Linked DNA regions of Nothobranchius furzeri. The protein of the gene in region 3 binds, or shares a complex with, the protein of the main gene of each other region. Links are inferred from orthologs where the notes say so. Each region holds a gene or a part of one and is shown on either strand. Other genes may lie near its edges.

The links. Proteins that work in one complex are often made in the same cells at the same time.
Region 1: crsp7 (region 3) and med20 share a complex: the UniProt entries of both Homo sapiens proteins name them as parts of the mediator complex. The link is inferred for Nothobranchius furzeri from reciprocal best matches to the Homo sapiens genes MED26 and MED20.
Region 2: crsp7 (region 3) and med12 share a complex: the UniProt entries of both Homo sapiens proteins name them as parts of the mediator complex. The link is inferred for Nothobranchius furzeri from reciprocal best matches to the Homo sapiens genes MED26 and MED12.

Annotation. Positions count from the first base shown.
Region 1 is NC_091743.1:46,648,247-46,658,521, forward strand, and holds med20 (mediator of RNA polymerase II transcription subunit 20), read left to right. Parts: upstream 1-4,478; 5' UTR 4,479-4,570; coding exon 4,571-4,584; intron 4,585-4,996; coding exon 4,997-5,142; intron 5,143-6,337; coding exon 6,338-6,591; intron 6,592-6,674; coding exon 6,675-6,896; 3' UTR 6,897-7,085; downstream 7,086-10,275. Other genes in the region: bysl (bystin), read right to left, coding at 1,186-1,319, 3,224-3,362, 3,478-3,634, 3,937-4,210. UniProt on the Homo sapiens protein: Component of the Mediator complex, a coactivator involved in the regulated transcription of nearly all RNA polymerase II-dependent genes.
Region 2 is NC_091741.1:82,294,808-82,305,032, forward strand, and holds the start of med12 (mediator of RNA polymerase II transcription subunit 12), read left to right. Parts: upstream 1-4,428; 5' UTR 4,429-4,486; coding exon 4,487-4,588; intron 4,589-5,218; coding exon 5,219-5,323; intron 5,324-5,426; coding exon 5,427-5,618; intron 5,619-8,192; coding exon 8,193-8,352; intron 8,353-8,460; coding exon 8,461-8,636; intron 8,637-9,665; coding exon 9,666-9,776; intron 9,777-10,061; coding exon 10,062-10,225. Other genes in the region: wu:fb13g09 (ATP-binding cassette sub-family C member 5), read left to right, coding at 175-339, 1,483-1,572. UniProt on the Homo sapiens protein: Component of the Mediator complex, a coactivator involved in the regulated transcription of nearly all RNA polymerase II-dependent genes.
Region 3 is NC_091751.1:71,977,469-71,987,478, forward strand, and holds crsp7 (mediator of RNA polymerase II transcription subunit 26), read left to right. Parts: upstream 1-4,820; 5' UTR 4,821-5,028; coding exon 5,029-5,100; exon of another isoform or gene 5,101-5,197; intron 5,198-5,943; coding exon 5,944-6,018; intron 6,019-6,104; coding exon 6,105-7,754; 3' UTR 7,755-8,849; downstream 8,850-10,010. UniProt on the Homo sapiens protein: Component of the Mediator complex, a coactivator involved in the regulated transcription of nearly all RNA polymerase II-dependent genes.

The DNA of each region.
Region 1 (10,275 bases), on a different chromosome or scaffold from region 3:
TGGTAATGACTGACTCTGATTATGAAGCAGAATATTGACTCTGATGAAGAAATTCACTCATCCAGCTGGGAAGATTGACGCTGCTGCAGCATCAGACAGCTGGTGCTGCACGAGAAGTGTGTGGAGTTTACAAGCTCCAAACGTTGGGTTTGATGTTGGTTTAACCTCTGGGACGTGATGGATGTAGAAATGATGGTAAAAACACCGCAAACGTGACAGACGTAGCGACAATGTAAAAAAAAAAAAGCCATAAAAAGAGGCAGATGCCGATGCGTTATTTATGGAAGTCAAGTGTGCCACATAATCATAAAAAAAGTGAAATATTAAATTTTAAAAGTGATTTATATATAAATTAAAACTTTCCAAATATAATGAAAATTTATAAATAACGTAAAAATACGAAGGAACATCTGTTGGTCAGGCTGATGGGAACCACTGCTCTAAGTGATAAGTGAATTTAGTTTTTTAAATGTATTTTATGTGCAGTTTTTTAGGGCTTTTATGTTTTCTGTAAAGATTGGTATGCTGAAAATCAGTTAATGTTTTGCATAAAGCATGAGGTTTTGGTTAGTAATTGTTTGGGAGAATAATGACTGATTTAAATAGTGGGGCACGTCTGTCAGTGCGCCCCAGGGCAGCTGTGGCTACATCGTAGCTCATCACCATCAGTGTGTGAATGTGTGTGTGAATGGATGAATGATACACTGTAGTGTAAAGCACTTTGGAGTCCTTACTCTGAGAGGCGCTATACAAGTGCGGGTCATTTATCATTCATAGTGTTGATCAGGCAGAGCTTTGTTGCCAGCGTTCCACTGCGTAACGGCTTCAAACACATATATAAAAGTGTTAGTTTTTACGTAAACCATTGGAGGAAATTACACAAACTGACTGAGCTCTAGTTGAGGCGCTTGCAATAGTTTGTGTATGTGTGTGTGCGTGTGTGTGTGTGCGTGCGTGTGTTTGGGGGAGGGTACATTGGAACTTTGTCCCCCCCCAGTTTGAAAATCCTATCTGCGCCCCTGGACAGAGAGCATATATCCGCAAAGTTCAGGAATGCGTCTTTAACTCCCAAATCCAGACATAAGAACATTTACATTAAATGTTTTATATGACATCATCAAAGCCTTGTTCAAATTTGAGTATTTGGGATCAACTCAGTAAATGGAACACAAACAGGGAGATCACCTTGTTGCCTGGTACATGGCTGCCGCAGTCCAGGTTTCAGGCTCAGTCAGATAAAGAACCTGTTCCCAGTTTGAAAGAGCCGGGATGATTTTGAAAGCCTTTGGCAGTTTTCCACTGCGATACTTTGACAAAACCTAAAAGATAGGAAGAGAAATGATGAAATTACAGTTGACTTGAAAAACACTTGCTAAATCTGAAAATCATCGTTTGAACAATATTCCGAAGTTTGGAGATGGGAATGATAAAATGAAGCCCACATTCATTAAAAACAAACAATCTAAAAGGAGGACAAAAAGGAAAACACAACTGACATGAGGAAACTGAACTCTGATTCCTTGATTTCTGTATTTTTTTTTTAAATAAGTTTGGCATATTTTTATATTTTCTTGCTACAATAACAAAAACTTCCCAGAAACCAATTCAGATCTTTAACATATTTCTTAAAGATCATATATCATGCTAAATCTACTTTTTTGGAACTTGTTAAATAGTTATTTCCTCATTAAAAAACCACCCCAAAGTGATTTTTGGCTTCGTGCACGCATTTTACTGTCTCAGCTGCAAATCCTAGCCGGTGTGTCCATCTGCTGCAGAAGCCTGGATGGAGTTGTTGCTGTGTCATCATGTCCCACTCCTCCCCATCCAGGCAGTACTCAGTCTGGATCCCTCCTCCCCTGGACTGTAAACACTAATGCACAGTCTCTCTTTGTAGCGAGATAAGTTTAATCCCCACAGAAGTAAATAAGTGATTTTTTAAAAATCTAGTCTGCACTTTTGATAATGCCTGGAACCCAAAATTTTATTTCAGTCTACAAGAGATACAGGACCCCATCCAGTCTTTCAGAAGAAGTTTCTTCTGGTAGGATTTTATCTTCAGAAGCTCTCAAAAACCGAGCCAGAATGTGGCTGTGATTTCATAGACTGCTTGTTAAACCACTACCAGAGTGGGTTTTCAGACAGATGACTACTTGAAACTGGCGTCGATCCAGTGTTAAAACCAAGAAATGAAGAGCCAGAGTGGTGAGTACAACCAAAATGCTAACCAAATGCCAAATGGTTATAAAGTGTGGTGGGTGAGTGTCAGGGACAGACTGGGACCATAATTCAGATAATTCAGGCCGAGAATCTCAGCATCTACCATCTCGGCAATCTTTTTTCTGTGTGTGTTTGCAGCTTGACTTGAGAAGAGATGTTGCCATGGATTTGCAGTCTCCAAGTCTGCAGCTGTATATTACTGTGAATTTCATACAGGGGGGGGAGGGGGGGTCGGGCTGGGTTTAATTGAATCCAAGCATCTTATTTCTGGGTTGAAGGAATGTCTCACAAAAATAATTTCAATAAACAAATTACATCTCTGAAGTGCCAACAGTACACTACAATACAATACAATCAACAGTATCTTGCATCTACTGTTGCTCTGGAAGGTGTAAAATGACATGATACAGGACCTTTAAAATACAGTTGCTTAAAAACTAAAGTAAAGGGGAAAACAGGGTATCCGCGGGTCCTTAAAAAGTCTTAAATTGGCTTTTCCAAATTTAAGGCCTTAAAAATCCTTAAAAATTACAAATAATCCTTAAATACAGTTTCCAAAGGTCTTAAATGACCAAAGACCCAATAAACAAGATTATTTTATTACTATAACATTTTCGTGAATTTCTAGTTAGTGTTCAGCTTTTTTGTGTGTATGATGTTGGCGTAAGCAGAACCGTACACATTCAGTTGGTTGTGAAAGGTGGCTATTTTTAGATTAGCACATTAGCTGGTTAAGCTAGTGGGAGCTTGAGCCATGGGGAAGGGCAAGTTTAATGGCTACTGGATGGATAATCCCACGTTCGCGACGTGGTTGGCACCGGTTCCAGGCAATAGCCGGAAATTATAGCTTAGATTTGGTCAAAGTGGCCTTAAAAAGGTCTTAAAAAGTCTTAAATTTGGCACCCTTAAACCTGCAGATACCCTGGGAAAAGAACAAAGTAGGTGAGATCATTTTTAACAGGAGAACACATTTCAACATAACACAAACAACTGTATAACTTACCTTACCGACACCCCGGTAGACCTCGGTCACCCTAGGGTCCAGCTGGGGCATTGGAACCCCTGATACCTCAGACATCACTGTTCCCACCTCGGTTTGCTTCTCTGTGATCTTCTCCATGATAATATCAGCTAAGGTCCGCCTGTGATGGTCACAAAGAGGAAAACAGCTGAGTATACGAACATAAACTTAACCTCAAAGTGGACTTTAGCAAATTCCAACAGCTAGAATTCAAACAAAGTTGTGAGAAATCTTGCCTCATTGGAGGGTTTTTATTCATGAACATCTCAATGGCCTTCTCATCATCAGAATCAACGATGACTTCAGTATCACCCTCCACATCACCATCCCCAGCACCTGCTTCTCCCAGAACTGGCCAATCTTCATCTGAGTCAGCATCCTGGGACTCAGGGCCTAAAATAAACAGGTCAGACAACATTAGAAAATATTATTCATGCATTCAGCAAAGACTTATTTCACCTAAATAGTTCTGAGAAGATCACGCTGGGAACTATTTTTCTCTGTGATCGTCTGACATTTTGTCCACATAAAAAACATTCGTCATTAGTTTTATTTTTGCAGAGAAATAAAGGGATGTTGCATAAGTAACACCGTATAACTAATTACAAAAACACTTTCGTGGTTTCTACGCTTGATAAACCAGACTTAATTAAAAAAAATACTGCCAATTTAAGGTCCGAAACCCTCCATCATACCGAGAACAGTGACTGGTGCTTTCCTCTGCTCAGGTGCCAGGCCATACTCGGTCTGCAACTCCTCTTGTTGAATCCGGGCCTGTTGTAAGATTTTCCTTGACAGACGTTCATCCACGTAGGTGTCCTCACTTTCGACCCGGGCGTCTCGATTCTTCACCCGGCCTCGGGCTCGGATCGTGTCCGCCTGGAGGATCTGGTCGGCCAGTGGCACCGCTCCTCCTCCGCCACTCTTCTCTCCTCCACCGCCACCTTTAGCTCTTTTCACTTTCGGCATCTTTCAAGAGTGACTCAAGCTGCGACGACGCTGTCCGTGTTTTGTTTTACCATTAGAGACACAAACAACGCGGAGAAAGAATTCTGTAAACAGTCTGTATTCTACACGTGCAGATTACCGTACGGCGGAAGTGACGATATACGTAACGTCTGTGCACTGAAAAACATATATATAACATACCATTTTATATGATGTTGATTTTATATGTTTGTATGTAACATACATTTATGCAATATGATTATAAAGTTTCTTGAGTTTGTTTTTTAATTTTCTGAAACAAGGTCGTTTACGTGCACCGGAAGTGTAAATGTTAATCCGGAAGTAATTGCTTCACGAGTGTTTTTTGCAGGCGAGAAATCAATGGGTGTTACTTGGTAAGCAGATTTACTTATGTTGTAGTTAAATGCTAACTGTAATAATATTTTTGTAATATATTTTATCACGCTGTGCATATGATTTCGTTTGGCATGTGTAGCTAACTCGGTGAATGTAGCCTTTATTTGCTTCCAAACCGTTTTACACTGAATAGAATAGTGTTTATTGTCGTTGTACGGTGTACAGCGAAATTAGAGTGCCACTCTCTTTAGTGCAAAATGGAAAACTATACAAAAAATAATACAGAAATAATATAAATGTAAAATGAACAGTAATATATATATTAGTTGGGTTCAGTAAGCAGAATTTTAGCATATTGAGTAAACAGAAATAGGACATTCAAATGTTATTGCACATGATCAATTTTGAACAGGTTGCTTCACGGTGTTGTGTTGTTCTTGTGCTGTGCAGTGTTTGCCAGGTGCCCGTGGCGGAGGGGAAGAGTGTCCAACAGACAGTGGACATTCTGCATAAGAAGCTGGAGCAGCTTGGAGCTGTGAAGCAGGGCAACTTCTGTGTAGACTGTGAAACATATCAATCAACAGTAAACGCTGGCGGTAATTTTCAGCTATTAACCATATAAATATTATCATTCCTGTTGTTTAGGTGCTTTAGATGGATAGTCTTCTGCATTGCTATTAATACAACTTGCTGCAGGGGAATTTGTCATATTTCTTTGATTAAATTCTGCTTTTTGAAAATGTTCTAATAATTATGTCAAATATTTGACTTAAACTCAATTGTCCAGGATATGTGTGCCTTGTGACAAATATATTGTCAAGCTATGTAATTTTCATTTTTACTGATCTTATTTCTCTGTAAGGTTAACAAAAACAGTCATCCATTGGGTAAAAATAGCCAGATTAAAATACAGTTGGTGTGTTTTAGAAAGGTTTTCTGTAAATCTTCATTACTATGTTATGCAAGGTTAAATGAGCCACGTTTCCACTGTATCTTTCCCCAGAAGTCAGGAACATTTAAAAAGCCCCATCCACTGCAAGAATCCGCTTAAATTTGTTTAAATGGGACAGCAGTAGCTCAGGAGGTAGAGCGGGTTGTCCAGAAGGTTGCAGGTTCGATCCCGGCTCAGACCAAAGAATTCTGCTGTTGTGTCCTTGGGCAAGACACTTAACCTGCCTTGCCTGCTGGTGGTTGTCAGAGGGGCCGATGGCACCAGTGCTCAGCAGCCTCGCCTTTGTCAGTGCGCCTCAGGGCATCTGTAGTGACATCATAGCTCATTCCCACCAGCGTGTGAATGTGTGTGTGTGAGTGACTGTGTTGTGAAGTGCTTTGGGGGGATGTAGAACCCTGTGAAGGTGCTATACAAACACAGGCCATTTACATTAAGCTCCTTGAAAAATAGTTTTTATTTTTATGTTTTATAAACATCCGCAACCCGGGGTCTATAAACGTTTGATTTGGCATTTATCTTTCTAAGTTACTACTAGTCTTTTTTTTCCAGGTTTCCACCAATGAGTCCATTAGCAGAGCAGTAAATCATGATCTAATTTAGCTCAAGTGTCCTCCAGAAAAAAAGGTGTCTGCTCTCGCATCCCTCATAAGCAACATTTATATAAACAGGACATGGTATGATTCTACTACTTACTTGTGTAATTTTAAACTTAATAAGCATGCTGCTCTAATCTGTGTCCAAAAATAAAAAAATCATGCAAAGTCATTATGCAAAAATTGCATTGTTACATTTTGCTGTTCTTCATGCAATTTCTCACTTTAAGTCTGGGTTTGTTACAGGTCAGCCCTCCAAGCTCCTTTATGTAATGCACAACTCTGAATTTCCCCTGAGCTGCTTGGCTCTGTTTGAAGGAGGACCCTGTTTGGTAGCGGACACAAACTTTGACGTCCTCATGGTGAAGCTGAAGACCCATTTCCAGAATGCCAAGGGACACAAGGTGGAGTGTCGCGGTTCGAGATATCGCTACTGTGACTTCTTGATTAAAGTTGGCACGGTCACAATGAGTTCCAGTGTTCGAGGGATATCAGTGGAGGTGACAGTTTGGTATTATCAGTTAGACCAGAGGCCCATTGTTCTCTTTTTTGACAGGATTAACCCTTGATGTGTTTTCCTCAGGTGGAGTACTGTCCCTGTGTGGTTCCAGGGGACTGCTGGAACCTCATGAAGGAGTTCATGCTGTCTTTTCTTGGCAACAATGTTCCTGAGCTTCCCACTGTATTTGCTGCCAAGCCTGAGGGTCTTTTTGCACCAGCAGACTCTGTCGACACCATGACTCAGTACCTGGAGTTGTTCAACAAGCTACGGAAGTTACAAATCACAGGAAGCAATGTGCACTAATAACATTTTTTAATGATTGTATTGATGTGTGTTAAATGTGGTCCTATGGAAACCGTATGATTTGTATAGTTCTATTTTTGTAACTTCAGTTTTGTATTTGTTTACCCTGATACAGTTAAAAGGAATACAGCTACAATCTATAGATGCAAATGCTCAACACAGACAAAAATAAAGACAAAAATCTACCTATTTCTGCAAGAAGTAAAAATTCCTTACACTCGGTGGGGAAATGTTGGTGTCACAGCAGCAATCATTCACATCAGGAGCAAAGAAGAACAAAATCCTGTAACATATGCAAGAAATTCTTAAAACATTCAATCGAATAAAAAAAATCTGTGCAGATAGACGAAGTTTATAATGAGGAGTGATGGCATGAAAGGAGAAATGTGTAAATAGGGACCTGGGATTACTCTCCGTGCACCAATGGATGCAGCATTCTGCCGCTGTAGGAGTTCCCCAGCTTCATGCATGGGGTGGAAGACATTGTGTAAAAGTGATGCTAATTTAGCCAGTCCTGTATCCCACCTCCTGCACTAGATCAAGGAGAAATCCTAGGGCAGATGTAGTGTCAATAAGCTTATCTAGTCTCTGTCTTTCAGCAGTAGCTATGCTGCTGACCTAACAAACCACACCATCAAAGATGGCTGATGCCACCATTTAGTCAAGGTCTGTAGGAGCACCCCCTGCACTCCAATGGACCTCAGTGGCATCAGCGGGTAGTGTGCTCTGGCCCTTACTGAAGAATATCTGTGTTATGGCCTCAGTTTGCTGTTCAGGTGAACACCCAGGTCATTATAAGAGTCCACTACCTCAATGTCTGTTCCCTGGATGTTCACCGGTCCCTAACCCAAAGACCTGAAGGTTTGATTAGAACACAAAACAAGAACTCCCACATGCACTTCAACAAATCACTTAATTCACATTCAAGAGTGAGATGCTTCTTATCAATAACATTATTTAGGAATGTAAAGAAAAGTCATCTAATGAGACTTAATTCAAAATAAAGACCAAAGTTAAAAATGTACATGAAATACATGTGGGGAGAAGATGTAAAAACTAAGTTGAAATGTTTCCATATTTGAAGTTAGAACAGTTTAACCCTTCACATGTCTGACGCATTAAATTAAAATACACACACGTTATAAAATGAACAGTTTACTGGACTATATAACTAAATGACTTAGTGATTACATTATTTATGTAATTAAATATAACTGTATAATTATTATTACCTGTCGCCTGTAATACACAGGTCTTCCACTAGAGGAAAACAGACGTGTTCACTGCAGGTTTCTGATGATAGTATCTCTTTGAGTAGTTCTGATGATAGTATCTCTTTGAGTAGTTATGTTCTTGCTGTGCAGAAAAGTAACCGCTTGCTGCTCTAGTGTCTCGGGCTCTTTGTCTGACGCCTCTCCTGCTGCGTCGTGATCTTCTACTGCTTTTGCGTAGCTTCTGTGTCGGGTTTCCACCATTATCACCAAATCCTCTCGTCTAGTATATTGTTCAAGTTCATCAACTCTTTGCTCTTAGGCCGAAATCTTCTTATCTTCAGTTAGCAGTATTTTAAGCTCCTTCACCTCCTCCATCAGTCTCATTAATCGATCCTGCTGTGATGTTACTTTTGACCTCCTCCAGGTCTTCTGTGGCCATTTCTTTACCTCGTCCACCCGCTCTTCCTCCTGGCATCTCTTCCACTCATCTGCAACCGTCGTCCTCTGGTCCCGTGCTCATCGCGACACGATGAATGTTGTTGGGCCTGCTTGGCTCAGCAGCACCCCTCGGCGCTGCTGGGGGCCGGGCCGATGGAACCGCGCCGGGCTCAGGGTAGTACAAATCTTATTAAAGAGATAAATCTCTCATAAACGTAGTTATTTTAAAATTAAATATTTAGTTTTTCATTGTTCTATATTTTACAAATATTAAAGATGTGTAACAATTTTTCACTTATAATACTCCTATGCATTTATTGTCTATGTGGCAAAATATCTAGTTTTCTTTTTAAACAATTACTAGTATTTACAATAATTTAATACTTTGCAATATTTAAGAAATTGTTTTGGCAAATACTGAAATGCTTTTCTCACAATAACTAAATGTCTTTTTTTTTACTTTTTTTTTTTTTTTACAAATATACAGACGACCTTTACCATATACAACATGACCTAGCTACTATAGATAATTGTTTTGTTTTGTTAGATGCAAATGCAAATGTAGCATATCATGAGTTCTATAAACAGCCCAACATATAAATTCCATTCATTAGGCTTTTCATAAACATTAGAATGTTTGTATCATTTGTTTATTTATGTGTCACACTTGTTACAAAACTTTGTTTTACCGCCTCTTCAGCCCCTTGAAGCCAGCACTCCTCCCCCCTGTTCCCCGGTATGCAGCACGGCCCCAGCCTCGGTTATTGTTCCATGTGGCCTCGGTGGGTGGGTGGGTGGGCGGACGGACGGACGGTCCATCCTGCCGCCTGTTGTTCCGCAGTTGGACCAATGAGAGCCCGGCTTCCGATCAGCCCCGGTCCAATGAGAGCAGTGGGGTCTGAGCTCGGATAGAGTTGGGTTGTTCAATCTGTGCGGAGGACAACAAGCCGCAGCTCTCAGAGTACCGGATGGATGGATAGGTGGATCAGTGTCGGCGATGTTAACAACACCGATCTCTTTCTGACGTCGGACTTTCTAACAAGCCTCGTTTCAGCCGCGTAACCGGCTCGGTGAGGTGAATGTCACCGGGGTAGTTTTTAAAAGGTTAACGGCGCAGTTTGCTCGCGAGCTAAGCCATTAGTTAGCGAACAACAACAACCATTAGATTAACTTCGATTGTCTTCGGCAGGAGCGTTAGCAGCGCGGCTAATGCAAGTTATATTTAAGCTAACAGTGTGTACTTCGAGCAAATAACATAATCTGTGATTAACCAAGCGTGTTTATTCGCGCCGCTTCGCTCGTGGCTAACCCACGGAGCCGAGCCGCTGTAGCTAGCGGTTAGCCGGGCTGCCTCCAACCAACAAAGTTATTGGAGGTTCCTGGAGAGAGTGGCTCCGTGTTCTTTGTTCTGGCTGAACATGGTGATGGTGGAGTAGCTTAGCATGGCGTTAAGGAGTCAGCCTGTCCGAGCCACGCTGCAGCAGTTAACACAAACACAGCAGAAAGTGGTTTAAATGAAAAATGTTAGCAGCTCGATGCGATTATAGAAGACCGTTAACATGCATGGCGGCGGCAGCTCAACATAACAGGGGTTTAAACTAACAAGGAACCAGTTGCTGCGACCCGAGGCAGCGATGGTGCCTGCAGCATCTGATTTGTCCATAAACTCTAGTTTCCAAATAAACAAATCCGCCAAGCTTTGTAACGATGTTGCTTTAGTGAATCAC
Region 2 (10,225 bases), on a different chromosome or scaffold from region 3:
GAGAGAAGAGCTTGTGTTCTTCACTGAGTGGGATACCACTGCCACCTGGTGTTTGCCATCTTTACTGATAAAGAGCTAGACCTCTTATGTTAGCGTTTGTAGGGCCAAATACACACACACGCACACAGTAATTTGACCTTCCTTTGAAACAATTATTTTTCTTTTCTGCTTTAGATTCTCATACTGGACGAGGCAACAGCAGCCATCGATACAGAGACAGATCGTCTCATCCAGGAGACCATTCGCAGTGCGTTTGGCAGCTGCACCACTCTGATCATCGCACATCGTCTCAACACTGTGATGAACTGCAGCAGGGTCATGGTCCTCGACAACGGCCAGGTGTGCATAAATGCAACACGACTCTGCCGACTGAAACACACTCACAAGCTGAAGCTGCTTCCACTCGACTGTGTGAGCAGAGCAGCACCTTAAAGGATATTTCAGCAGTTATTAAGTATTTCTGTATAAAAGTCAAAAACATTTCTGTGACAATAACCGTGTAATACTTATTGTGTAAGGAGTCTATAAGCTCTTAACCATCACGCATATATTAAATAGCACTTAGTCGAGTTGGAGCTAAAAGAAATCAGCCTTAGTAATGTCTAAATATTTCAATCTTAATGGTGCATTATGCAGAAATGAAGTAAAAATGACATCCTGTGGTAAAATGTGGTTTCTGCAACCACTTTAAACAACTCTGGAGCTTTTTGCAAGCCATCGTCAAATTACAATTGTCATCGCTGCAAGATTAGCTTGCAGGAGACACGGCATCCCCACACTCACTGTTGGTAAACAGTAGTTACGTCCCTCCTTCTTTTGTTTTGAAAGGAGAAAAACTGACAATCCCCACAGCCAGCTGGATGTGAAATAGGGCTGGGCAATAAATAAAAAATGTATCGTTATCGAAATGTCTGACTCGTATTGAAACAATTTGTCCTATATCAATAAATTTGATAATAAAAAAATTTAAAGTTGTGTGTAGGTTGGCAACGTTCATGTACCTTTAAGAAGCTGTACTACCTTGAGTCACAAGTGACCCAACTCAACGTAATACATGTGACAGCCCCACCTAGTGGACAACTTTTGTTTCTGCACATACCTGTAGTTATCGTCCATGTATCGTTATCAAGGTGAAATCCTCAACATATCGTGATATTGATTAAAGGCCATATCCCCCAGCCCTAGTATGAAATGTTTCAGTGTAACCTTCCTTCCAAAATGACTGAAACATTAGACTCTTTCGGAATTTTCTCACTGTAAAGTTCTCACTATATTCTTACATACTGCATCTTTAAAGGCATAGTCAATTATTTGCCCCTTTTCTGGTTATAAAGTAGAAATGTGTGTGTCAAGATCTAACAGGGTGGTTGAGCACAATCCAAGTGTATTTTTTATTTCACCGTCAATGAGAAAGTTTCCAATTTTTAAGTGCTAATGATTTCCCCTTTGTCCTTTTTGGGTTGTTGTTTTTGTTTCCTGTAGATTTTGGAGTTCGACTCTCCTGCAGCTTTGCTGGCAGATGAAAACTCAAGATTCAGAGCCATGATCCAAGCATCGGAGAGCCAAAGCTGAAATGATAAATAAAACACTGGAGTTGAGAGCTGCCCAAAAAAAAAAAAGCAGTAAAAACACATTCAAAACTACACAGTTTCACCAGTCCTGTCATGATGTGCTGGAAAAAGAAAGAATCCAGCGATGGGAGATCTGTGTAACAGTGTCTGTTTTCTTTCTTACCACGTCAAAGATCCAGAGACTAAATTCATGTCCTAAAACACGTCCAGTCTCACTATGCAAAATGAGATTCGACGAAACTGTGGTGTCCACTGCCGTTTCACACAAGTTATTTCCTAACGGCCAACTGCAAATCAAACTGAGTTCAGACTCAAACAGCACTTTATGTTTTGTGCGGTGCTTCCTTTTTCCTTGGAAGGTCAGTAATCAGTGAAACTTTAGATTAGTTTTGGTCTTTTTTTGTCACTAAGACCTCAAAGTGCAGGAACTTACTTAAGATAGTATTTTGTTTGCTGTGTCATAATATTCAGTTGAAGTATGTGAGGATTTTTGTTAATTATTCATTACAGAGTCTCTAAGATAAACACTTGTTTTACATTCCTATGAGGCACTGTCTAAAAGATTTTGAAAATATTTTCGGTTTTTTTGCTGCAGTCTAAAAGAATAATATTTGTGCGTATTATTTCAAGTGAGATATGTGCCTAGAGAGCTATTTTTTTAAATAATGGAGTCAGCCATGTTAGACTGTGTGCAAGCAAAGTACTGTGCTTCAAAACTGAGCTAAATGTCCCAAATGCTGGAGTTTAAAATGTGCACATTTTACACTTTTTTTTGCTAATATTCTACAAGCAAAGTTGTTTCGATGTTGAATACAATCTATTCATGTGTTGCATTTGAAAAGTACTGTATGCAATTTGCAACCAGGGCAGGATGATGATCAACATCTGGATGTCTTTAAATGTTTCTCCAAATCTGAAGATCATAGACTTTTTGCCTTATAGTCAAGTATTTGCTGAACAATCGTTAAAAAGTGCAATATGTTATTATTGCTTTGATACTTTTATAACATTGCCTTTTTACACTTGGGATTGTAATGTTGCAATACTTTTGTTGAGTGTTCAATAATAATATAAGTTTTTGAATAAAATATTTTTATATAAATGAAAATGTCTGGTTTTCTAAATGTAAAAGAGAGATGTGGACATGTGAACTATGTGGAGAAACTTGTTTGTTGTTATTTCAGATTTAAAACAAATTTGATAATTTAGTGTTTTTGGTGCATACCGTTTGGTATTTAATGGTGCTTTTGTTTTAGCACCTCTTTTTTTTTTTTACCTTGATAATTGAAACTAATGGCTAAGTTGGGCCAGTGTTGCAACTGCTATCAGAATGAACTGAAATGTGAATAAGACATCCGATTTTAAGAAAACGCATTGCAGAAAATGCAAAAGAAAAATTCAAATTTAAGATTTAAACTTTAAAAAGGTAAAAATAATTTTAAAGAAACTAGAGTAATTTATCCTGAGACTCCATAGCCTTCGTCTAAAAGGTCCAGTGACTAAAGCCTACTGGTTGTGCAGCGCAGCAGGCTAAAGACCAAAGGTAAAAAAATGGTAAATGGCCTGTATTTGATATAGCGCCTTCTAGAGTCCTGGAACCCCCCAAGGCGCTTTACAACACAATCAGTCATTCACCCATTCACACACACATTCACACACTGGTGGGGATGAGCTACGATGTAGCCACAGTTGGCTTGGGGCGCACTGACAGAGGCGAGGCTGCCGAGCACTGGCTCCACCGGTCCCTCCGACCACCACCAGCAGGCAATGTGGGTTGTGTCTTGCCCAAAGACACAACGACAGCGACAGACTGAGCGGGACTCGAACCTGCAACCTTCCGATTACAGGGCGAGCACTTAACTCCTGTGCCACCGTCGCCGTAGGTGACAGATCATTTGCTGCTGTGGCCCCAGACTCTGGACCTCTCTCCCCCTGAGCCTGAGATCAGTGGCTCATTGGTCTCCTTTAAAAAGCAGCTGAAAACACCTGTTCAAGGTGGCTTTGGTGTGACCTTCATTACCACCCTCTCCTTATTCTGCTCTTTTTACCAATTCTGCCTACCAGGATCCACTGATTTCCCTCATTCCTATTCATTTTCTTTCTCCCTATTTCCTTACATTTATTCAATCAACACCTTTTAAAAAAAAACATGTTCTTTTTTGCAAAATTTTAAATCCCTTTTTAAATTTTTTCTATTTACATTTTTTGTTCTTGGATAGCACCTTGTGATTTTATCTTGAGAGCCGCTATAAAAAAGATTGTTTTCTTTATTTATTTCTTTTCTAAAAGCAGTGATGTATAGAGAGCAGAGATGCAGCTCCGAGCACAAGTTAACCCTCTGATTTAGTTAAAACATTTTTTTTAATTTTGTCTCGAACTACGGCCAATAAAAAACTCTGTGTACATATAATGAGTGTGATGTTTGTGTTCCTTTTGTAAAACATGTGAAAATTAAATCCTGCAGATATATATCTCTAATTTCTCCTGAAAGCTTATTACTTAAATTTTCTTGGAAGTCTTCCTTCTAAATTACTTTTTCCAAGGCTAATATATGAGCCTTCCTTAGGACCTTTTGTAATTTTTAAAAAGAAGTTATTGGGAATTTTGGCAATGTTGCTCCTTCAAATGTCCCTCCAAATGTTGAAATTGATAACCTTCGGAATGTTTGTTGAAGGTTTTTTAAGGAAAGGCAGCTTTGTTTATGTAGAACATTTTATTCATTAAAACATATTGCTTATTTATATTAAATTATAGATTTTACCAAATTAAATGTAATTTTTACACTTATTTTGAAATTTACGGACGACGCAAACCGAAAGTGTGGCTTTTTGCAATAACTGCTGGGACTTGTAGTTCCAACGAGCTGCTGCTGCTTAGTGGGGAGAAAAGCGTCGGCTCGGCTGTGATGCCGCTGGATGATGGCTGCCTTCGGTATCCTAAGTTACGAACACCGGCCTCTGAAGAGGCCACGGCTTGGCCCTCCAGACGTTTATCCCCAGGATCCAAAGCAAAAAGAGGTGAGGTTTCACCGTTTTGAGTGTGAAATCGAGAAAGTGCGATTTATTAGCGAAAATGTCCAGCAAAAGACGCTGCTAGCAAGAGTTAGCATGTTAGCAGAGCTGCAGACGTTTCGGGCCTCGCAGTAACAATGAGCTGCTCCTAGTTGTCAGATTGTTGGGCAGCTTAGTTGAAAAACAACCGGCTCGTTTGATAGCAGCGTTAGCTAAACTGGTGGGTGGTTTTCACGTTCACCCAGACTGTCACCACTCCTTTGTTTTGTGATAAAAAATAATGATGATCGTATTTCAAAAATCTGATGTTATTATTGATTTGGCTGCTTTACAAAAATTTGTTTTGATATTGAGTGTGGCCTAGCTAATTAGTGCTGCTTTCCATTTTGTGTCATTCTGGCTCCATATTTTTGTTGAAAACTAAGAAGTTTTTTTATTTTGTTTAAATCCGAGCCTATTGTTTTCTCAGATAATTTTGTAACTTATATTTATTTTTTGCTGTCAGTAAAATTAAGACCGTTCGAGCTTGATAAATGTGTGATTCGCTTGTCTGTGATCTGAGATTAAGAGGCTGAAATGAATTTATTTGCATAAAAACATTACATTTTCAGTATTTTACACTTTGATGTGTTTCAGGATGAGCTGACTGCTCTGAACGTAAAGCAAGGTTTTAATAACCAGCCAGCTGTGTCTGGTGATGAACATGGAAGTGCCAGAAATGTCAACTTCAACCCCTCAAAGGTAATGGCTAACATGTTAACAGTGATGCTGGACTGTGTCCCAATCACAGCCACTTGACACTAATGGTTCCTGTCCATCCTCCCTGGGTCCTGCTGCTTTACAGATCAGTTCCAACTTCAGCAGCATCATTGCAGAGAAACTGCGCTACAACACATTTCCAGACACAGGGAAACGTAAACCACAGGTCAACCAGAAGGACAATTTCTGGTTGGTCACAGCACGATCACAGAGCTCCATCAATAACTGGTTCACAGATTTAGCTGGGACTAAACCTCTCACACAGCTGGCTAAAAAGGTGAGCTGCTTTTACTAAATCACCTGTTTGGTTCGTTGACGTAACAAAAACTCCACCTATTTATAGGATGCTGTGGCGGAAACACTCTTTGTTTATTGATGTAGTTCTGGTTGCATCACTTGGTTGTGCTGTGTAATTTTCATGTCAACATTTGGTAAAAAGATGAGAATTTCTGTCAGTTTCAACAAAACGGTTTAGAAATTCATCACATATAAAAACTGGAGCATCAGCACAGATTGAACTATTTTTAGCAATGTGTGATTAAATGTAATAATTTTTGTTGCTTAATTATATTTGATCCTAAGTGTTAATGCATTTTCCCACAAAAAAGTGTAATCAGATTACTCCATTATTACCTTGACTTGTTGCTGTTGGTGCCATATGTCAGTTTCACTTAATAACTACATCCTTTATTGTTTTTATTTAACTACATGGTAGCTTGAGTTTTACACAAATACTGAAAGTAGGGCCCTGATATGAAGATGTTATCTTCGTTCTGTGCTGCCAGTTGTATTTGTGAGGACTCTAATCGATTTTCAGACTTGTTGACTCCTTTCCCAGCGGTTTATTCATTGATTGCTTCCTGTCATTAAAACAGAAGAAATATGGAACCTGTCTTCATCTTTAAAGGACTCAAAGCTTCTCCTTTATAGCAAATCATTGCTACATTCTTCTCATACATAATTAGTTGGGAAATCAGTACTTTTTCAGTTCCTGCATCTAATCGGTGCTTTTGTAATATTTTCTAAACTTTGTTTATATGAAATGATTTTCAGGTTTTGTTTTGTTTCCATGGAGATCTTACACAGAAAAGCAGTCCAGGTTTTTGGTGAACATGGTTATTGAGATGGATCCTGCTCTTTCGATCGGTTTGAGCGTTTTTTTTACCTGAACGTTCTGCAAACGCAGCAGCTACGGAGATGATCTGAATTTGCTGACGAGCACAGGGAGGCTGTGTTGGCTCTGTAAAAGAAGAAAAATTGGTCTCTGGTAGGGTTGTCACGGTAACCGGTGTGGCGGTAAACCCCGGTAAAAAAAGTTGACAATAATAATAACCGTCTTGTTTTTTAAAAATCTATTATCTCGGTGGATTACCGAAGCTGCAATGTAGGAGCGGTGACCCTTACCAGCCACCGTATCATCTGCTGAAGTTGCCGGCGGCACATGCGCACTTTGTTGTTTACAACCAAAACTTTCTTGAAGCTAAAGCTGAAATAATGGCCAAAGGAGGAGACGGCAGCGCTCAGGACATTTATTATCCCTCAAAGAAGACAAAGTGGGAAGTACGGGCATTTTTTGGATATTTGAAGAATGCCAAGGGACAGTTGATAGAAGACGGCTATCCTGTTTGCAGCACGTGCAGGAGAAAGTCTGTGAAAGGCAGCAATGCTTCAAATCTCATGACACATCCGCGTGACCATCACCCACAACTCTACAGTCAACGCAAGGCAAGCAAGCGTTAGCGTTTTAGCTAAAATGCGTGATCCGAGGATTTGGGTTGAGGGAGAATGCAACGAGTCGCTATATAAAGCAGCCGCAGCGCCCGCTACCTGCATATAAACCGTGTCGAGGACACCCCCATGTTGAAATGATGCTATGCATTACGGAGCTCCCAGGGGCAGATAAGAGTTAGTCTCTCTCTGAGAATAATTATGAATTTAACAATGATTACTGCCTGATGACATTTTCCCACATCTGCAAAGCTCACTGGAAGGACACAAACCGAGGACAATATTTTCCTGATATAGGGTTTTTTACTCAAGTAAGGGTAAAAAAGTATCTGATTAGAAGGCTACTTGAGTACTGAGTATCATCTGATCTAATATTTTTAAAATGATGACATCAAACAGACAAAAAATAAGAAGTTATGGGCAAATATTGGTGTTTTAAAGACTAAAGGGGAAAAATGTAAACAAATAAACAACATAATTACAAAATAACACATTTTAGGCAAAATTTAGACACAAACTGAGGACGATAATCTCCTGATATTTAGTTGTCTGAAAATGTAACGCGTTTAAAAAAATACTGCGATAATACCGAAAACCGTGATAATTTTGGTCACAATAACTGTGAGGTTAAATTTTCACACCGTGATAACTCTAGTCTCAGGTTGTTAAAAACAAATCTCCTAATTTAGCAAACCCTGTCTGGATTATTCAGGTCTAATGTTACGGCGCGAAAGCAGCTTAAATCAGTAATTCTGTGTTTAAATCCCTTTTTAAAAGCCACTATATTTGTGCATCTGAATAAACCAAATCTGTTTGTTGTCTTAGGGATTTTTTAACCCAAAACACAAATGCTCTCATTGTCGGCTGCTTTTGTAATTTTTATTTTACAATTTCTCACAAATAATATCGATTTTTGAAATCTTCATGTGTTTTCCTTGTTTTTAGTAAACCCATTGTGCTCTTACTTATTGTGCCGAGAGGTTTTTAGTTTCTTAGCCAAATTAAAGCAACGTCTGTTCATAGGGTTGCAAGCCCCTCACTGTGTTACACATACATATAATATGTATGTTTTATTGATGGTGATGTCAGCTTTGTGCGAATTTAATTTACGTTTCTGTTACAGGTTCCAATCTTCAGCAAAAAAGAGGAGGTGTTTGGATACTTGGCCAAATACTCTATTCCTGTCATGCGGTCTGCGTGGATGATCAAGATGACCTGTGCTTATCACGCAGCCATCACCGAGACTAAAGTCAAAAAGAGACACGTGATCGATCCTTGTATAGGTGAGAGGTGGATCGTTTTCATCTAAATGGTGTATTTGTAGTTTCATTTGATTTAGAAATGAGATTTTTTTTTGTCTGTTCCAACTTTTGTTTCTTGTTCGTTTGCAGAATGGACCCAGATCATTACCAAGTATCTGTGGGAGCAGCTGCAGAAGGTGGCAGACTTCTACCGACAGTTCCCCAGTCAGGGCTGCAGCTCGCCACTGCCGACCATGCCTGCTGATGTGGAGACGGCCATGAAGCAGTGGGAGTACAACGAGAAGCTCGCCATGTTCATGTTTCAGGTCCGTTTCTCCCACCGTCGGACATCTAAGCTGTTCCAGGATCAGATTTAGAGGAGTTTATCTGCAGCACCAGTTCTTTCCTGTTCTGCAGTCATTACATTTATTTGTATTTTCCTTTATTTTATTTATTTTCCTTGGTGAAAATTCAAACCCATGGCTTGTTACGAGACATTTCTGACTTTTTTGCGTCTGCACCTCCCAAACAAAATCTGCATTCAACAAATGAGATTAGTTTTGAGTTCTAATAAACGTGTACATTTTGAGTCATGCAAGAAAATAAAACTTAATTTGTACTTATTTTTTTCAAGATAAAGCCTAAAATAACCTTAGCTTTGCTAACGTTTGGCTAAACATAAGTAAGCGTGTTTCCTCACTACCTTCTTTTCATGCTTCCATCTCTACCAATTCTGCCTTTCTCTGGATCCTGTATCACCATTTTCTTATTCATTTATGGGCCATTCCCATCTGTACCGGGTCGGCCCTGCCCGGATAGCTCCAGTCGGCCCCAGCCTGGCCCGGTTGATTCCACACATCCTTGCCTAGTTATGCAAGGAATGCAGTCAGAGACATTTTCAGCTTCTAGGTAATCAGCATGATAATGAATGATGATGAATTGAGCATGCCTTAAGCCCATGTGGGCTGATTCGACCCACCAATCAGAGGCTTGCTCTAATGGAAGGTGTGAATTTGCTGTCAGCAGTGGGTGTGTTGGCCCTGGTCGGCCTGAAGCAGACCCCCTCAGAAAGAGGGCTGAAAAACAGTCTCGTTGCACCCTAAAAAAAGGCAGGCCACCAAGAGTCTTTCTCATTTTTTGAATTCAGTTTTTTTTTAAGTTTTCCCTTTTTGATATTTTTTTAATCCTTTTTTAGTCTACTATTTTGTTCTTGTGAAGCACCTTGTGATTTTTATCTTGAGAGGCGCTATATTAAATAGTTTCTTCTAAGAAAAAGCTGTCCGTACCAAAGGAACGTACAGATGAATAACTGATATATTTTAGCTGTTTTGACTAAAACACCGTGGCATTTTCAGGATGGGATGTTGGACAGACATGAGTTCCTGACGTGGGTGCTGGAGTGTTTTGAGAAAGTTCGACCCGGTGAAGACGAGCTGCTCAGACTCCTCCTGCCCCTCCTGCTGCAGGTAATCACATCTGCATTCACATCTGCGCTCCCACACAAATAGATAACACTTAGGAAACATTCTGGCTTAATCATCCTGCAGCTGCACGTTTATATCAAAACCTGCTCTGTGTGGGCTCCTTCCACAGCCCGTCATGTTTTTGTGTCTTCATCTGGCGGTGCTGACCTTTGCTAACAGCACCCACTGGGGCACACAGCCTTTCCTTTGCTGCTGCTCTGTAAGCTTACTGCTGTTAATGGACACTCGAGTGTTGTGGCTAATGCTGTGAATCTCTCTGCGCCACAGTACTCAGGAGAATTTGTACAGTCTGCTTATTTGTCACGACGACTGGCTTACTTCTGCACACGGCGCCTCAACCTGTTGCTAAGTGACGGTAGCCTGGGCCCTGGCGCAGGAGGGCACCCAGCACACGGCATCTTGACACAGCAAAGCAATGCCCTGCCCCCCAC
Region 3 (10,010 bases):
GAGCCGTTGTAGAGCGGGTACCAAGAAAAATTGAGTTCGGAAGCGAGCGGCTGTGGAAGGCGGGGGCGGTGCGGAGGTTGTGGATTTTGGGGGTGAGTCCTCCAGGGAGCCGGCTCCCCCACTGGCCCCAATAGGCACCTCTGTTTCCAAAATGCCACTCAGGGCATGGAGACCCCAGCCCATCCTGCCAGGGCCCAAAGCAGCAGCATCACAGAGCCTCACGGAGTCCGAGGGCACCAACCCAGCCCCACCCCAGCAGAATATCTACTCCCATCCCTGGGGTACCTTTATCTCTAACCATTTTCTAAATACAACCTTTTGAAATAGTAATTTCAAAACTGAAAATTTTCTTGGAAAAACTCTGGCGGCCAAGGGGTTAACACCTGTCTGTAGAAGAAGAAGAAGAAAAGAAGAAAATATCATTTCTATAGCGCCTCTCAAGCTAAAAATCACGAAGCGCTTCAAAAGAAGCAAAATAAGTCATTGTGTCCTTGGGCAAGACACTTCACCCTGCTTGCCTGCTAGTATTTTCCCAAAACAGACAAAACCAGATTCCAAACAGAACATGCATGACAACGTCTGGGTTAAAGGAATGGCTCACGGAAAGAATATATATATATAGTTTCATAAAAATTACATTTCATTAGTGACAACGTTAATATTTCATCATATATTGTGCCTATAGTTGTTTTGGAAGATCAAAAACCGTATGCTGCAAGTCCTTTAAAGGAGGCGAGGGGCAAGTTTCACATCTGAGCATTTAAAACAATTTGCATTAACATAAGGCATGTCTCCACTTTGGCAGGCCAGCCAAAACGACCACTTTCCAAGCTGTATTCTGGGACCAACAGACTACCTGAACTCTACTCGGAATGGCCCAGAGTTGCTGAGCAGGTCTGATCTTTTAAATAGCTCCTCTAAAGAAAGAAAAATCACGTGTCACTTCACAATAACAAAATATTTTTTAAATAAAAGGGGAAATTGAAAAAGAAATTACCGTATTTGCGAGACTATAAGTCGCACTTTTTTTCATAGTCTGGCTGGTCCTGTGACTTATACTCTGGAGCGACTTATATACCAAATTATGTATCTACTGCGCTGCTGTGGGCCCGCTCCGGACCAGGAATGAGCTCTCCCCGCCCGCTGGGAGGGTTTGAAACACCGCCATTCTCTGCTGGAGACCGTGGCGCGCTGCTGCGTACCGCTGATGCAGCACTGGTTGTTTATTCTGTTATTGTTGCCCGTACTTGTCTTGTAATGTGAAACGCTTGGTCTCAGATTTTGTAAGAAAAATAATAAAATTTCTCTCCAAAATGCGACTTATAGTCCAGTTCGTCTTCTATGTTTTTTTCTTCTTCATTATACGTTTTATGGCTGGTGCGACTTATACTCCGGAGTGACTTATAGTCCGGAAAATACGGTACTGAAAAATTAGGACAAAAAATATGAAAAAGGTAGTACAGGATTGGTAGAGATAGCAGCACAAAGAACGGTAGTGAGGAAGGTCACACCACAGCCAGCTGCTTTTTAACCCTCCCACTGTCTTCGTGGGTGACCCCACGAGGAAAGTTGACCATTGAGCAGGGTTGATGGTTTATCCCTTGAGGTCCACGTGGCAGGGGTGAGGTGGTGCTCACTCCTCACCCCTGCCACGTGGACCCAAGGGATAAACCATCAATCCTGCTCAATGGTCAACTTTCCTCGTGGGGCCACACCTATTAGGTCAGTGGGAGGGTTAAAGGAGACCACGGGGTCCACTGATCTCAGGCTCAGGGGGAGAGAGGTCCAGAGTTTGGGGGCCACAGCAGCAGAGAAACCTCTAATAAAAGCATCAAACATACCTGTGGATCAGCATCCGTAAAATAGTTACCAGAAAGCAGATTATACTTAGCCTGGCCTGCCAGACTCGTCCTCTGTTTAACTCAGAGAAAGAGTCTGGTAACTCACAGGCAGAGGCACATGAGGGGCGGGACTGGCCAGCTCAAAAATAACCAATCAGAAGAAAGGCGCAAATGCCGAATGTACCGTGCAACGCTGTAGTTTTTTAGCTGTAATCAAAAATTGCACCTGCTGACGGTGAAAACATCTTTCTATAGAAGAAAGGCTTTGGTTTTAAAGACATTTTCAAGTCATTTAGAACAGAGGAAAGAGCCGCATCGAACCCCGCTTCAGCCGCCATGTTTGTTTGTTATGAGCAACTGAGCGTCGCGGTGTGCTCGGCGCTGATCGGCTTGGCTAGAATTCTCAGAGGGTGGGGTTATTTGAATTGGAGCGTTACCAGACTCTCTCTGTGTAGAATTAAACAGAGGAGGAGTCTGGTAGGCCAGGCTATGTTATACTGCAGCTCCAGTAAACTGCTAACCCTGAACTTAGTAACCACGGATTGTCTTCCAGAGTGAAAAATACTGCAATGAAATCTATTTTATTTTATGCAAAAGTCCACCTTTTCAGTTTTTACTTTCCGAGTTCCACATTTCCATCATAAGCCTGGTCTGCTCTGTCTTCTCCATCCCCAGTGAGTCGTGGAGGATGACTGCTTATACTGAGCCAGGATCCTCTGGAGGTTTCTTCCTGTTAAAAGGGAGTTTTCCTCTCCACTGTCGCTGCATGCTTGCTTAGTATGAGGATTGCTGTATAGTCACTGACACTAGTCAGTGACTCGATGCGATTTGCTGGGTTCCTTTTATTGGAAACGTGTTACTGATTGGCTTAATGACCTGACCTGTATTGGAATGTTTACTGTGTGCAGGTCCTTGAGACGACTCTGGTCCTGACGTGGGGCTATGTAAATGAACTGAATTTAGTTAATTAACCTTAAAGTTTGATATTCCCACGTGAAAGACTAAACAAATCAGTAGCCAGAATAAAAATTTTTACTTTAACTTTCACAAAAATAACAAAGTGCTGAGGTGTTGGTATTTCTTTATGCTCGGAGTTCAATAAAGTTCTAAGAAACCTTATGACCAATAACCAATGACAGCTAACCTGGCAGCAGCCAGATCTCTATGTGTAGCCCCGCCCTGTGTCCAGTCTACACTTTCGATATGGAATCTCTGCAGCAGAAACCGGCATATGCAACTTTTGTTCATTTCAAGTAGGGTTCACTTTTGCCAGGTGGAGTTCCCCTCTTGGTCTAATGACACAAAAGCAAGCTAGCAGTAGCCGGTCACATCTGTAATAATTAAGATGAATTCCCATATTTAGCCGTCATGCTTCATACAGTTTCAGGTGTCTTTTTTCCTGTTTGTGTGGCGAGATGGGCTGAGCCCACCCACCTGTGTGACCAGGTAACAAGTACGGGGGCCTGCAGCAGCCAAAAAATCCCTCAAAACTACCATGAATCTTTCGCTACGAACAAATACGAGTGAACACTCGGATTCCAGCAATGCTTGCTCTCACAACTCCATACGGCTTCATCAACGTACGTGCAACAGATGTGCTGACGTCATCTAATTGGAATGTCATGATTTGTTTTTGTGGTCAAGGAAAAATGATCAATGGGACACGAAATACGCGTGAAACACAACAAGCATGCCTGACTTTTGTGCTTCTTATGGATGCTCTAATAGACGATGTCTTCAGTCACGGCAACGTGTCATTCATACGATTTAACAATAACAAACATTCAACTGTGTTAGGCTGATAAGTCTCTGTCATCTGCTTTGCTTTTGAACTATTATTCATTCAGATAGTGTAAAAAAAACGCTCAGTGGGGTCAGCTCTGAGGAAGATCGCAGACACAATCAAAAGTGTCAGCAGGTAAAAAACCTTCCCCGTGTTTCAAAAAGAACCTAAAAAAGCGGTCAGAAGAAAAACACAAAAGATGTTTGTAGTCTTTAGAAAAACTGCTGGCTCATCAAATCCCCCTGATTAATAAATACAAGGAATTAATGCCACACTTACTAATCATGATTACTTTAGGTAGACAAACTGTAGTTCTTGTCTGATTTCTCACCTGACACCGTGTTGTTCTATAGGCTTATGTAAAGTATGAAGACAAGCACACTGTCCAGTTACATTAGTAATTGTAATTTCAGGATTTGTTGTGCGGCGAGCCATGACCAAGCTGTCCTGTGATGTCTGCCGTGCCAGCCTGGTGATGATGCTGCATCTGCCTGTGATGACCAGAGCTACATTTGCTGTCTCTGCAGAACAACGGGGTCTTGTGGTCCCATCTGAAGGTGCTGTGAGGGTCATCAGAGCAGCAGAGTGGGCAATTCGCCAGGCATCAGTGGGCAGACGATCACAGCCCATCAAACCACTGGAGGTCATCTACATCGTGCACAAGAGGATCGGGTCAGAGGATGTGTTTTTGCTCGGGGAGCTCATCAGTGAGACACCGTACGGAACTGAGTGTCACTCCCGTACACTGTTGACATCTGTTGTCTCCCTGTTCTTTAAGCTGAGGATGCACCACCTTGCAAGATTAGCCACTCGTAGCTTTCAGTGTGACAGCATGAGCCAGAAGCTCTCAAAAGCTGTCCTTTTCACAGGTCCGTAGGAAATCACAATGTGCTTTAGCATCTGTCTTAGATCTGTTATTTTTATAATCACAAACATGTATCATCTGTAATAAACAGGTTTTTCATAACTGTCAGTCCGTCATTCAGTCCACCAAGTTGCTGCATAAATAAACTTGAATTTAATTTAATTTAAACGTTTCATATAAAATCGGTCAATCAAATATTTACTGAAAAACAACTCACAAAGTTTATATTTAAAAACGTCACTGTGGTCGGGATGTTTACTTGGTTACGTACGAACGTGATGACGTAGACACATCGTATCCCAGCATGCAGCAGGAGGCCGTTGAGGCATCCAGCAGTTGGTAGTGAGAGGAGGTCCGAGGCAGCAGCGACTCCGCTCCGCTCACATATTTCCGACTCCATGTGAGATCAACTCAGACCTACATGCGACAGAAAGCATGCTGCTCGGGCGCCCGACGTGTTCCCGAAGCGGCTTCTGAGTCACCCGGCTTTCGTTTTGGAGGATTCCTCCCTCCATCTCCTGGATCGCACCGAACAGGCAATGACAACGGTCTCAGCAACCCCGCAGCAGATGAAGGACCGGCTGCTGCAGGCCATTGACAGTCAGAGCAATGTGAGCAATGCTAAAGCTAACGCTAGCTTGTTTGCCTATCAACATCCACGCAGCTGTTCGGGTGGCACGTCGCTGTTTATACAAACTACGCTGAAAGGTGCGCTCGGCCTCGACACGTCGGATGTCTCGGTGACAAAAAGGCTCGGGGCGAGTTGACAGCTAGCATGCCAGCTAATTTAGCAGCAGCGCTGCGTTGATTGGACGGATATCTGCCGTTATGTAGCCTGTTAGCTGCTAACGTAGCTTAACACCAAAGCAGATTTGGTATAAAGGAGCAATCCAGTCGTTGTTTTACGAAATCATCTCATCTAAAGAAAAGTTTAAGTTATCCCAAACAGCACAGTTTTAGTGAAAATGTTTTATTTAAACAATCACAAAGTTTAGGGAACCAAGTGGCTGGAATAGCGTTGAGGAAATGCTCCTTCCTTCTAAAGTAAGTTAAATGCTAACTACCCTGACTAGCTAACACAGGCAGGTCCACCGACTCGGGCTAGGGCTGACGCTGTCGACAAGATGCTCGGTTTGCTCCAAGTTCATAAACCTTTGCTGAGATGATTCCAGGTATTTTTGAGTGTCTCTGTGCCACATCAGCTTTGCAACATCGTTCGGTTTCTGGAGCTAAACATCCAGCTGAGTTTCTCCCGATGAACATGTTGTTTTCCACCCCGGAGTCAGGGAGCAGTTAGTCCAGATCTCTGGAGTTCCTGTTACTGTGGGAATGTGATTGGGTGGGATTGTCCAGTGTGATTACATTTTCATCCACAGACTACAGCTGTAAATCTAAATATTACTGCCACCAGTAGAAGCTGGGGGTTACTAACTGCTGGCATGTCCTTGTTGCAGATATGCAACATGGTGGTTGTATTGGAAGTGATCGCTTGTCTTGAGAAGTATCCGATTACCAAAGAAGCACTTGAGGTAAGAATGAACGTGTCATAGGCGGTTAATGCCTACAGAGGCTGTGGTGCCAAAATAGTTTTCACTTTTTAATTATTTATTTTCAGGAAACTCGACTTGGAAAACTGATTAATGATGTAAGGAGGAAAACCAAGGATGAAGACCTTGCAAGGCGTGCAAAGAAACTCCTGAGAAACTGGCAAAAACTGATTGAACCTGGGCCGGCTGTTTCAGCAAGTGTCCCGGGGTCTACCAATGGCAGTTCCCATCCCTGCAAAACCGATCCCTCTCCCCCTGACATTTCTGTATCGGGGAAAGCGGTCACAGAAGTCACAATCCGAAGTGATGCTCACAACACATACTCGCCTAAGGCTGAGAAGTCAAGTAACCGCAAGCGGCGGGCAGAGCACAGAGACAGTGGCGTGTACGTAACAGAAAAAATCTCCAGGTTGTCGGCGTTTGATGACTCTGTTTCTCCGCCACCCACCAACGGGACTGCTGGTGGTGCCGATGCGTTGGCCGACCAGGAGGTCGTTCCTTCTCCTGACAGGCCTCGGACAGACCACCTTGAAAATGACAAAGGAAACAGAATTCCAGTTAATGCTGTCAAGCCCCGTCCCAGCTCCCCTGGCATGGCCAAAGCACCTAGCACTTCCTCGTTGATTAAAGTTGCTGTGATGCAACAGCAAGCTAAACTGGAAGAAGGGGGCGGGGGCTATTACCCAGCGAGGAGTCCCCGCAGTCTCACTTCCAGTCCCAGGAGCCTAAAGCAAGACCCCGTTTCTAAGCGTTCAGCGTACGTAGCAAAGGGAACGCCGGTCCCCAGCCCATCTTCTAGAGACTCCCCCCTGTTCTTCTCCCAGCCTCTGTCCTCCCCAGCACCGGTGTCTCACAGTGAAAAACTTTCTTCTCTTCGGTCTTCAGTGCCCTCTGCTAATTCATCAGAGGTATTCTCTCATTGCTCTCCCCAAGATCTATCTGCAACACTGGATTCCCCCTCCCCCCCGCCTCCCCCGCAGAACTCAGAGGTCCACAGGTTGGTGGTTGAAAGAAGCTTAAGTGTGTCTGATGACCCTGATGGGCCAGTCCTTAACTCTGAGCATAAAAGGAGGAAGTACAGGCCTAGAGACTACTCCGTTAACTTGGATGGCCTGAAACTAGAGGACACGACTAAACCTGTGCGGTTAAAAGAACGCAGACTGACATTTGACCCGGTCACTGGTCAGATCAAACCTCTGGTGCATAAAGAACTTTCTCCAACAGAGGACCCCCCCACTCCGGACCTGGGAGAGTCCAGGCAGAGAACTGAAGTCGTTGTCCAACAGCCCCCTTGTGCAGCCCCCGCCCCAGGTCCCAGCTCAAACCCCTTCCACCAGACCAACTGGAAGGAGCTGACTAGAAATGAAATAATCCAATCCTACTTGAACCTTCAGAGCAACGTGCTCACCTCCTCGGGGGTCCAGGCCCCTAGCGCACACTTCTTCATGTCAGAATATCTAAAAAGGGAAGAAAGGGAGACTAAAGACTCAAATAAAACACACGTTTTGCAGACGGACCATTTAACAGGAGATTTACCAGGTGTGAGTCGGGAGGTGACGGATGAGGACCTGGACAGAATACACACACAGACCTGGCAGGGGGTGAACGGTTGTTACGACACCAAGGGAGCCTGGTATGATTGGACAGCGTGTATATCACTGGACCCTCATGGAGACGAAAGCAGACTGAACATCCTGCCATATGTGTGCCTGGACTGAGGGCTTTAGAACGGCTGCTGGTTCTTTTTCACCTTTTGTCTCGATGGAGACGAGATCCTTTGTGATTTTGTTTGTCTGCTGCGAGTTTGGTACGAGCCCAGGCCGCTCGACTCCCGTCGCCACAGCTCCGCCTGTGAGAGTGTTGAGACTTTGGTATGAAACCTAAAGAGTTAAGTTTTAACATCAAGGGCTGTTTGAGTTTCAGTTTAAACCAAATGAACCACTGGTAGTGATGAAGACGTTAAGAGGACTTGGGCTGGACTAAGCTAGGCTTGCTGGTCTTGTCCAGCCCAGTGTGTCCAGGAGCGCTGGAGCACATGAGCTGCAACAAGAGGCCTCATCTGGACTGAAGGGTGCATTTCTTATCTAAACATCTATTTAGTTCATTTATGGGATGTTTTTCTTCTCCCATCTAATCCTCGGTGACTGATGCAGGCATAGCCGCACCTCTGGGTTGGTTTGATGGTTCTGGCCCGTGGACACACACATCTCGTGTCCATCAGAAACCGTCAGGTGGGCGGGATTAAAGCAGGATCCTCAGAAGCTGTTTAACAGACTTTCATTTGGAGTTTAACGGCCTTTATGTGAATGTAGACGTGTCTCAGTCATGCGCCCAAAGTCGCCCCGTTTCCTGTTTAAACCGCCGACATAAAAAGTCAGAGGTGGAGAACATTTCGGCCCTTCCTTGTGTGATGAGTGACCTTCTAAATTTTATTTCTATTTAAAAGAAGCCATCATAAATCATTATCTGACCAGTTAAATGAAGGTTGGCCTCTGCAGCTGCGGTCCTCGTTCTCATCCCTACCATTGTGCCTTGGTAAACGTTAGGTCTGGAAGTGTTTCCACAACACAAGCCTGTGTAGACGTCGGTGAGAACATCCACACCTGTGATGGTCGCGACTCTGGTATACGCACCGTTTTCTGCTGATCGGAGGAGAAGCGGCTCTGCAGACAAACTGCACAACACAGCTGGCAATAAAGGACATGCTACAACTGATGAATAGTTTTTCTTGAGTTTCAACTGGGTCTTTATTTGTTCAGTGTTTAACATCTAAATTGTTTGAAAATAAAATGATTTAAATCTTTTTTCTGCCAGCTGACTTGTGGGTCCTTCATGTTGCTTCTGTCACCACCGAGGTGAACATATGTGTGTTCCTCCTTCAGGCCCAGGATGTTTTTCTTGTTGTGCTTCTCTAGTCTGTCCATCAGGGGGCGCACACCGCCCTGTGTCTGAACAGCTGATCCAACAAGGCACTAAAACGTAAACATGTCTAACTAAGCTGACAGGTTTGTGTGTGGAGTTTTAGAACGGAGTACTGGCCTTCGTGTGATTCAACCCTTATCTGAATCTTTCTGTGGAGCTGCGGCCAGGTCTCAGCGGGGCAAGAGCTAGGCGGAGAACGGTATCTGGGTCCAGCCTTACTGAACGGGACCAGAACCACGCTGGGTGCAACAGGATGAGTGGACTGAATCAGTGCTGCTGATGCACATGGATGATGTCATCATCTAACACACACTCACGCCAGTTTTTATTACCTTGTCTAGGATTAGAAGCCCTGAGGGGATGTTGGACATTCCAGAGAGAAGCTCTATAGGTACTCCTAAGGTCAGGACCCACCAGCTGGTTTAAACAAGCACATGAGTTTGTGATGACCTTTGACCTGAGAATTCCACTTCCTGTGGATGTATTTTATGTTCATTCAGGGGTTTTACTTATTTCAGGCTTCAGCCTGATAAACCAAGACCGCCGACATTACGTCACCTGAGTAACTTCTGCAAACCTTTTTCCTGCCAGTGACTCAGGAGTTGGGGTCATTTGTCTGGTCTGGCGAGTCTGGAATGCAGGGAGGATCCCACTACTCTGGACCACGCCCACTACTCTGGAATTTGGGAAGTTTCCTTCCATAAAAGGACTTTTCCATCTAAATCTTGACACAAGTGGGACTACGGAGAGGTGGAGCCAGGATCGACTAATAAAAGTGGGAACCAAAGAGTCAAAGGAAACAAGAGAATACCCTGTAAGCAGTGAGGTAAAGGCAGAAACTCTGCAAGTTGAATGTTTCCATAAAACAGTCGCTTATTTTAATGTCGTGGTCTGCCCTTCATGGCATTTGTAAATGGATTAGAACAGATTATTAATCCCACAGTGGAGAAATCCACTCGTTACAGCAGCACACACACTATTACAGGTGAAAACACACCGAGGCAGTAAACTGTTATTGTAACCTTCAGCTACTAAAAACAACCGATAAGAGG